2 linked regions of the Oryzias latipes genome follow. Each later gene encodes a partner of the first gene's protein in a complex. Links are inferred from orthologs where the notes say so. Each region holds a gene or a part of one and is shown on either strand. Other genes may lie near its edges. The genes, in order: nsun4; transcription termination factor 4, mitochondrial.

Evidence for each region.
Region 2: the proteins of nsun4 (region 1) and transcription termination factor 4, mitochondrial are in contact, whole or in part, in a crystal structure (PDB 4FP9), measured with the Homo sapiens proteins. The link is inferred for Oryzias latipes from reciprocal best matches to the Homo sapiens genes NSUN4 and MTERF4. Residues at the interface, in NP_950245.2 of Homo sapiens: Pro61, Ser62, Arg64, Val65, Leu68, Ser69, Glu70, Arg136, Gly137, Asp138, Ile139, Arg141, Asn367, Leu368, Met369; in NP_872307.2 of Homo sapiens: Tyr267, Glu269, Arg270, Leu271, Gly272, Arg273, Glu311, Glu312, Val315, Phe316, Lys318, Leu319, Arg322, Glu323, Glu326.

Annotation. Positions count from the first base shown.
Region 1 is NC_019875.2:13,892,294-13,896,583, reverse strand, and holds the start of nsun4 (5-methylcytosine rRNA methyltransferase NSUN4), read left to right. Parts: upstream 1-1,403; 5' UTR 1,404-1,446; coding exon 1,447-1,542; intron 1,543-1,976; coding exon 1,977-2,202; intron 2,203-2,295; coding exon 2,296-2,437; intron 2,438-2,507; coding exon 2,508-2,662; intron 2,663-2,756; coding exon 2,757-2,917; intron 2,918-3,003; coding exon 3,004-3,128; intron 3,129-4,290. Other genes in the region: cytochrome b-c1 complex subunit 6, mitochondrial, read right to left, coding at 737-796, 1,107-1,154. UniProt on the Homo sapiens protein: Mitochondrial RNA cytosine C(5)-methyltransferase that methylates cytosine to 5-methylcytosine (m5C) in various RNAs, such as rRNAs, mRNAs and some long non-coding RNAs (lncRNAs).
Region 2 is NC_019875.2:23,369,948-23,374,102, reverse strand, and holds transcription termination factor 4, mitochondrial, read left to right. Parts: upstream 1-1,602; 5' UTR 1,603-1,688; coding exon 1,689-1,730; intron 1,731-1,990; coding exon 1,991-2,420; intron 2,421-2,514; coding exon 2,515-2,699; intron 2,700-3,079; coding exon 3,080-3,460; 3' UTR 3,461-3,607; downstream 3,608-4,155. UniProt on the Homo sapiens protein: Regulator of mitochondrial ribosome biogenesis and translation. Binds to mitochondrial ribosomal RNAs 16S, 12S and 7S and targets NSUN4 RNA methyltransferase to the mitochondrial large ribosomal subunit (39S).

The sequences.
Region 1 (4,290 bases):
AGAGTTGCCAATCAACCTATGAAGCATGTTTTTGGACAGTGGGAGGAAGCCGGAGATCCCGGAGAAAACCCACGCATGCACGGGGAGAACATGCAAACTCCACACAGAAAGGTCCCCCATTGATGTTGTCTTTTTCATGTCCCCCAGCCCGGACTTGAACCGGGGGCCTTCTTGCTGTGAGGCAAGAGTGCCAACCACTGCACCACCGTGCAGCCCGAGTAAATATAAATCAAATTGCTTAATTGTGGCAATAAGGAGGAGGAAGTGACTTAAAATTTGAGCGTGCATGAACGGATCGATTCATCCATTGTTTTTACAGTCTACAGGTTATAGGTCGTGTGGCCATCCCATAATAATTTCAAAACTTCCCTATGATATCCCTACACGTGTGTTTTGGTTTTGTTAATGTCTTTTAAAATAGGTTTTTGCACCACATTCATTTTTAGACGTTTTTTCCCAGCTGTAATGTCATCGCTTGTTGGGAGGGGTAGGGTCGTTCGCCATGCCTAGATTTCCCTCTCCCTGGGAACTGGGTGTGTACAGATTTTGAGAATGTGGTGGGGGTGAAATCTTTGCTCAAAGGCGCAATAAGAAAAAAGAACAATCTGGTCCTTGCAGTCTGGGACGGCAGCGGAACAGACTTAAACTACTTCATTTATGTATCTGATTTCTTAGCTTATAAATAAACTAAACAAGTATGAATATAATACTCAGTTTACATAATTTTCATACTTACCACCATTTCTTCCTCCTCCTCTTCTTCTTCTTCCTCCTCCTCTGCAGGTGCATCTTCCTCCTACATAAACACTAGTTTATCTATTGTGCTGAGTTTGATAAATCAAAGGACTGTAATTTTACAAATTAAGCCTCAAGAAAAGTATTTTACTCCTAACTTTTGTATACAATTTCTAACTGTCTCTACAGCAACATGCTAGTGCTTCTAGACACACTTATAGTATACAGTGGGAGTACGTGACTGAGTTGGGGTTGGGGCATGAAGCCGAACGTTACAGCTAAACTTACTCTGAGCAGCAGAGTTAGCTGACAAGCTTAAAACTTTAGCTTCTATAGTAACTCAAAATGGTGATTGATAGTACTTTTCATACCTCATCGTCCGGCTCTCCGTATGTAAGCATCTTCGTCTCAAATCCCATTTTTTTTTCCACCGGCGAACCTTCTCGAAAAGTCGGCGAATCAAACTCACGACTCGTCAATGTCCCTACTGGAGAAAGCAAGGTCGGTCACACGCCGGAAACTGCTCCGAATAAAAAAAAACTCACGCAAAATCACATTCTATTGGTTCAATTATGATTGACGTTTATGTTGTCCAATCATATTAGAGTTAAGCTTTGCCCTGGCCAATTGCTTTTTTTACGTGCAAGTGCGGAACTATGTTTTTTGTGAATCGACGGGAACGACGGAGCATAAACCGGGTTGGACCGAAGCATGGCCTTGTTTCTACCGAGCAGCAGGCTTCTGCTCAGAAAAACGACAGATGTAAGGTTTTTGACGCCCCGGAGGAACCGAGTCAAAGAGAAATGGGTACATTTAAAAACCTTTAATACAAAAAGCCGTTTGTAATGTTTGTTTAATTCTATTTAAAGAAAGTGCAAATAGAAAGTCTATAATAATTTTGATTTTACGACATAAGAGAACTATTGTTTTACTCAGCACCCACTGAAAATAAAGATTTAAGCTAATAATTATTATTTACCACCTGCTTGTTAAAATGTGTGTTATACATTACCTCAGGTTCATTTTTTTCCTTCTATTTAAAAAAAAGTATATTTATAAATTTACTGTGGGTGGGAAACTTTTTTGTTTACATTTAATGAATAAAATAATAAAATAGTATAGTTTTATTACCTTTTAGATTTACGTTATTAGACAAATACAAAACTGCTACAAATAAATAAACAAAACAGAACAGTTAAATTGTAAAAAAAAAAAAATAACATTTGTTTTGCTCTTTTTAGGCTGCGACACGTGTCAAACACCCACCCACCAGGCTGGCCCTGCAGCATTTTGACGCCACCTATGGTACCCAGCTGGGGGAGCTGTGGCCCTCAGTGCGAGTCGCCCTGTTGACAGAGAAGAAGTATGGCGCCCTGCTCAATAATTTCTCCTTTGATGTTGACGTTGGTATAACTGATCTCCAAGCCCAGAGATGTAGAGACTTCATCAGTGAAAGACATGGAGGGGGTATGTTTTGGTTCACAGCATTTGCAGTGATGTTGCTGATTATTTTCTGTGTAAAAGGTCAGAGGTCAGTTGCTACATTCTTTGTCTCTGTAGCTGAACCATCGGAGATTGGTGCTAAGAAGCAAACCAGTGGTGCTGATGGTAATGATCAACAATTGTCTCCTCCACCACTCAGCCCAAATATCAAGTGCTATGTGTTTCCAAGAGGTGATGTCACTCGATTTAAGCCTGCCAGGTGAGCAAACGTCTGAATTTTTTTTTCTGAAGGTCACTGCAGTTTGATCTTCTGGTATCTTTTACTTAAGACCAGATAGCCACGGCCTGTTGGGCTACTACCTCATGGATGCAGCGTCTGTGTTGCCATGTTTGGCGCTTGATGTTCAGGAAGGTCACACTGTGCTTGATCTGTGTGCTGCTCCAGGCGGAAAGACCCTGGCTTTACTTCAGACTCAGCTCGTGAGTGAGTGATCACTCATTTCTCTTAAACATCTTTCTTGGTCTCTCTCTGACTTCTAGTTTTCCTAATTTCTCTCCACGTTGTGTTTACCCAACAGGGTTTTTGTGTGTAAACGATGCCTCGACTTCTAGAACATCACGGCTGAGGAAAGTCCTCCACAGCTATGTTCCTAAACAGTTTCTGACAGATGAGCGAGTCCGCATCAGCTCGTTTGATGGCACCACATGGGGGGAGATTGAGAAAAACACATTTGACAGAGTAAGGCCCCACCACCAAAAAAAAACATTTATTTTGACCTTTCGGAAATTCCTGACCTGATCAGGTACTTTTGTTTTTGAGTTCAGGTCCTTGTTGATGTTCCGTGCACCACAGACCGGCATTCACTTATGGAGGATGACAACAATATATTCAGTAAAAGCAGGACTGGAGAGAGACGAAGGCTGCCACAGCTACAGGCGGAGCTGCTCCTGTAAGTTTGATTCACAGAAGTCATAGATTGGACACATTTGTACAAAAGTTTTTATTTTTGTGATTTATTATTTATTTTCCCACAAAGTTAGAGGAATATTTGTCAAACTTGTAAGGAATTACAGAAGTGGGATGCACTTTTTAAGTGCTTTATTTGTTTGCTTGAAGAAAGAACACTTTAATTTATTCTTCTTTCTGGTTGAAATTTAAATTTCCCGTATATTTTCTAGATTCTACAGTTAAAAACGTTAAATATAGAAAAATATTTCAATTAAACTTGTAATGGATGAGACTTTATTCTTAATCCTCATTTGATTTTTTTAAAGCTCTTTCCTCTATGTGCAGCTAGATAAAGTGTTGAAAATATTGGTCTAAAAAGTTTGTTAGTTCCAAATTTCATAATTACACTGTAGTTAGTGTCAGTAAATGTGGCCTTGAGGTTTATAATTTTGAGTAATACTTTGACAGAGACACAATGCTGCGTTGTTATTTTTTAAAGGGTACGAATGAACACAGCAGGTAAATTTCTTTAAATAATACAAACCAAATAAATCTACTCTGTAGCTTTGAGGGGTCAACTTACTGCTATGAAGAACAATGTGCTCCAAGAACAATCACTGTTAGAAAAAAGCTCATCAACGCAGGAGTATAAGGGAGTATTCGGACCATTTTACAAAAAAGGTTTTTATTAATTGCGTCGTAAGTCGTAGATTTACGAGAAAATTTAAATATTTTGAGAATAAAGTTGTAAATTTATGACTTTTTCTTGTAAATGTATGTCTTTTTTAAAGTTGTAAATTTATTACTTTAAATTTCTTACATTTACGACTTCAAAAAAAGGAAAATTTATGAGAGGAAAGTCAGATTTATGAGACAAGTTGTAAGAAAGTAATATTTCCCACTTTTAAAGTCAGAGGCTAAATCTATGGCTTTTTTTCTTCTAAATTTGTGTTTTTAAAATTGGAAAAAAAAAATTTGTTCAGTGAATTAATGAGAAAAAAAGCCTTAAATAATGAGAACATAAACACCAAGTTGTCTGTTTATTGAAGCCGTGCTGGAAGATGAAAGACCTGGAGGATTTTGTGAAGCTTTATTTACGTGAATATACGTTCCAGATGGTGATATTTATGTGAAATTAACACAGATGTATCACGAATAAACCA
Region 2 (4,155 bases), about 9.5 Mb from region 1:
TGATATCACAGCTTTTATGGACAGAAGGAAGTTCAAATTTAGTTTTGACCATGAATGAACCTGCATAGAAAAGAAAATGTCCAATGCAAGCCTCAAAAACGTTTATAGGACATTAAAGAATCCTCTTTCCTTTAAAGAGCAGTGTCATGAGTTTTTATGAACATAAAGGTGTTTCTTCGGTGGAATTGATCCCAAGAGTAATAGCTCAACTGTTAAGGCTGATCCACCCCAAACTCAAATATTTGCATGGATTTGGGTTCATGCATTGTTGCTTGCATGTATATTTCAGCCCCACCCCTATAGTTTCTGCTAGAATGAGATCTGAACTCGCCAAACAAATCTCCTTTTTGGTTTTATCCGAACTCCAACCTTAGTACAGTTACATTTACCTGACATCATCACCCTTCCCTCCTCTGAGCATATCCAAGCCATCTCAATTTCTTTGCCTGCATTTTTCTTCAAAACATCTAACATTATCTTTTCCTCCGATGTTTTTATTCCTGATCCTATCCATCCTGGTCCCTTCCAAAGAGAACCTCAACATTTTCAGCTGTGTCTCTTTTACCTTTCCTTTCATTCTTGCTGACATTCTTTAGACAAACTTCATACCTAAAACCTTCCTCCACTCATTCCAACCTGCTTCCTCAAGCCTTTTCACCTCTTTCCCAAAATCTGTTGTCCTGAACAACTCCAACGTACTTTTTTGCCACTTCAGACTTCCTTATTAAAACCAGTGACTTCTGAACTAAGTCGTGCTCCATAACAGGCGCCTCTTCCACTCTGCTTTCTCTAATTTTCCTCATTTATCAGATCTTCAAAGTTCCTCTTCCATCTTTCCATCACACTTGAGGAACCTGTCAACACACTTTAATCTCAGTCCTTGATCCCCAAAACTAGCTGCACATTCTTTCATCTCTGTTTCTCTGCCTTGTCAACCTGTATAAACCCACCTATCCATCCGTTGTGCCCAACCTGTCTTATAAGTCTTCATATGCCCTTTGTTTGGCTTCTGCCACCTTCCCCTACTGCTGCATTTCATGTTTTTTGTCTGCTGTCTTCTGTCCTCTCAGTGTCCCACTTTTCTTTTCTTCTTTTTTTATTCACAGTAGGATAGAACATCTTAAAAAAACTTTAAGATGTTCTAAAAGCATTAAAAAGCATTTCTCTCTTTCCAGATCGTCTCTTGAAAAATAGGATATCATCCTTTTTTCTTCCTTTGCAACATCTCAAACAAACTAGTTTTCCCTGTTAACAAACTTCCATTTAGTTTCTACTCTACACGGCTGTTTCTCCTTTACTGTTTACCTATGACCATGCCTCCCTCCTTCCCTTTGACCAACAACAGTCTATTCATGGTCACATATGATTTTCCTTTGACCAACAACAGTCTATTCATGGTCGCATATCTGATTTGCCTTGGGTTTTTGTCAGAAGCTCCTCCTGACCCCAACCCTCAGCATGTACCTGAACATGGGACTGGCACACCAAAGCAATGGATTTGACTTTGTATTAGTAGCCACAAATGGCTCAGCAATAAATTATTTTATCAAATCAGTTTATATTTTTAAATGACCTCCCTTTTTTCCATACTCGTTTTATTTGACTAATTTTTAAATACAAGCATAAACTAGAACTAAAACGAACGGAACCTTTCAATGTATTGCTGTAGTTTCTAGACGGAACAGAATATGCCACGGACAAGCATGGGTATGCGAATTGCTGCTAGGCAGGTGATTGAAGGTTTATGTGTATACAACTTTAAATATATTTACGGTGCAGGTTAAGTTTATTCCCAAGTATACCGTGTTAATTTATTGAATGATAAAAATAAAAGTGTTGACAGATCCTCTCCTTTTTTTAAAATAACCTTCTCTTGTTTGCCTAACTCTCTGTACTGGCATGTCCTTTTATTATTTCTTATTAACTTGTTTATTTTTGAATCCAGCTGTTAGTGAACCAATTTACGATAAAACATTGCTTTGATTTGCAGATATTTTACTGGACTTGTAGGGATTCGTCCTTCGTGTTTAGTCTTCCCCACGCCAGGATACATCATCTCCCGTGTCTGCGCTTTGGAACCAGAGGGCTGTGCTCTTCCTCAGATCATTTTCAGTCAAATCAGCGACCCCATGAACCACCTCCATGGACAGCAAAGCCGGTTTCCGAGCTGTCCCCGCGCTCTCTGGTTGACATGGGCTGCACAGACTCACAGGCTGAGGAAATATACCAATGTGTGTGCAGCATCAGAGGAGAAGGAGCTGCCAGACATGCTTTATCAACACTTACAGCCCTTTTTGTCCTGGGTCTTAATTCCTCCAGTGTGGTGAAAGTGCTTAACAAATGTCCTGAACTATGTAGTGTCAAAGAGGTACAGCTTCAGCAGAGAATAAGCAACCTGCGGAAGCTGGGATTACTGGAAGGTGAGTATGATCATGTATCATAAGATCACACAAAAAAGAGCAAATGCTGCACTTAACCAGCTCAAACCCCCTATTTTACCTGTTTCTCACATAGGGAGTCTTCAGAGAGTTGTGGTCCACTACCCTAAAATACTGACTGTGCCTGTGAAGTCAGTCAAAAATGTGGTGCTCTTTCTCAAAGAGAAGTGCCTTTTTACAACGCAGCAGGTCACAGACATCCTCAGAGACAGTCCAGCCGTGGTACTGGAGGACAAGAATCAACTGGAGTACAAGTTTCAGGTCAGCAAACAAGATGATCTGTATATTTATACATGTTAAAATAAAATACTAATGATCAAAAACAACTGGTAAACCTGTCACATATAACACTGGTCTGGGAGGAGTTGTTCCTCTGACTGAAATACAGTACAACAATGCAGATTTATTAACTTCCTCAAAGCACCAATTAAAATTTATGACCCGCAGCAGTAAAATTGTAAAATGCAGCTAGTTTTTGTTTGTTTGTTTGTTTGTTTTTTGTCTGGTGTGTGAAGAATGGTGAACCTTGCCATTTAAATCTTCGTGTTAGTCCGTATTTTGTTTTAAAAGATTTTTTTGTGTTGAAGAAATTCTCCCTGCTTGTTATTTATACCAGCATATGTTAACCCATCTGTCCACAGTATGTTTACTTCAGAATGGGAGTCAAACAGACAGATATGGTGAAGTGCAAGATGTTTCGTTTCACTCTCGATGAGCTGCGCTGTCGACACCTTTTTCTTGAGCGGCGAGGCCTGTACCAGACCCCAGATAAGAAGGGACAGACGACCATCATCAACCCCAAACTGGCCAGCATCCTCGATGTGGACCAGGACACCTTCGTCACAAGTGTTGCCCGGGCATCTGCAGAAGAATATGATGTGTTTCAGAAACTTGTGGCAAGAGAGTGGAAGGAGGAGGGGTTACAGGGCAAAATAGAAGCTGATAGTGATGCTGAAGAAGATGAGGGGGAGGAGGAGGAGATTGGTGGAAGAAATGGATATAGAAAGACAAAAAAGAAATAACAGTTTAAGACAAAAAATGAAATGGAGAAGGAATACAATTTTATGAAAAGCAAAAAGGAAGTTTTCTAAAAAAAAAAAAAAAAACAAGGATACAATTGTGCTGTTTTATAAGCAGATAATAAAAATTTTATCTTAACCAAACATGCAGCATTGCTTCTCAGCCTCTTCTATTTAATTAGGATCTATTTGATGTGGAGTTGACTTTTTTGTGTTTATTTAAGTGTTGTCATCGGGATGCTGGTGTGAGACAGAGTTAAATGACGGTAAGCTGACATTATTTCAGAGTTCTGATCATTTAGATACCAGCTAAAATTGATTTCTAGTTGCAACTTTTTTGCCAAGTTATAAACAGAACAGATATGAAACTCAATTTAGGTCAATAAAAAACACTAACAAAAAAGAAAAATGCATAAAGAGCTTTAGCTTCCCCTTTTTTTAAAATTTAGATTTAAACTAAAAATTGCAAACCGGTAAAAACAACACCGTATTGAGCACTTACAATGGTAAAAGCTCCACCCTGTTGCTATGTGATACCCAAGTGCCTGTAGCTTTTTGCATCTATAAGTTATCACTGAGTCAACAAAGAGTACATCAGATAAGGACATGGAATGAGAGAAGTCATACACAAACCATTGATTTATGCTGCAGTGGGTGGTTTTCCGTATTGGACGCAAGGTAAGGTTGTTTGGATCTGT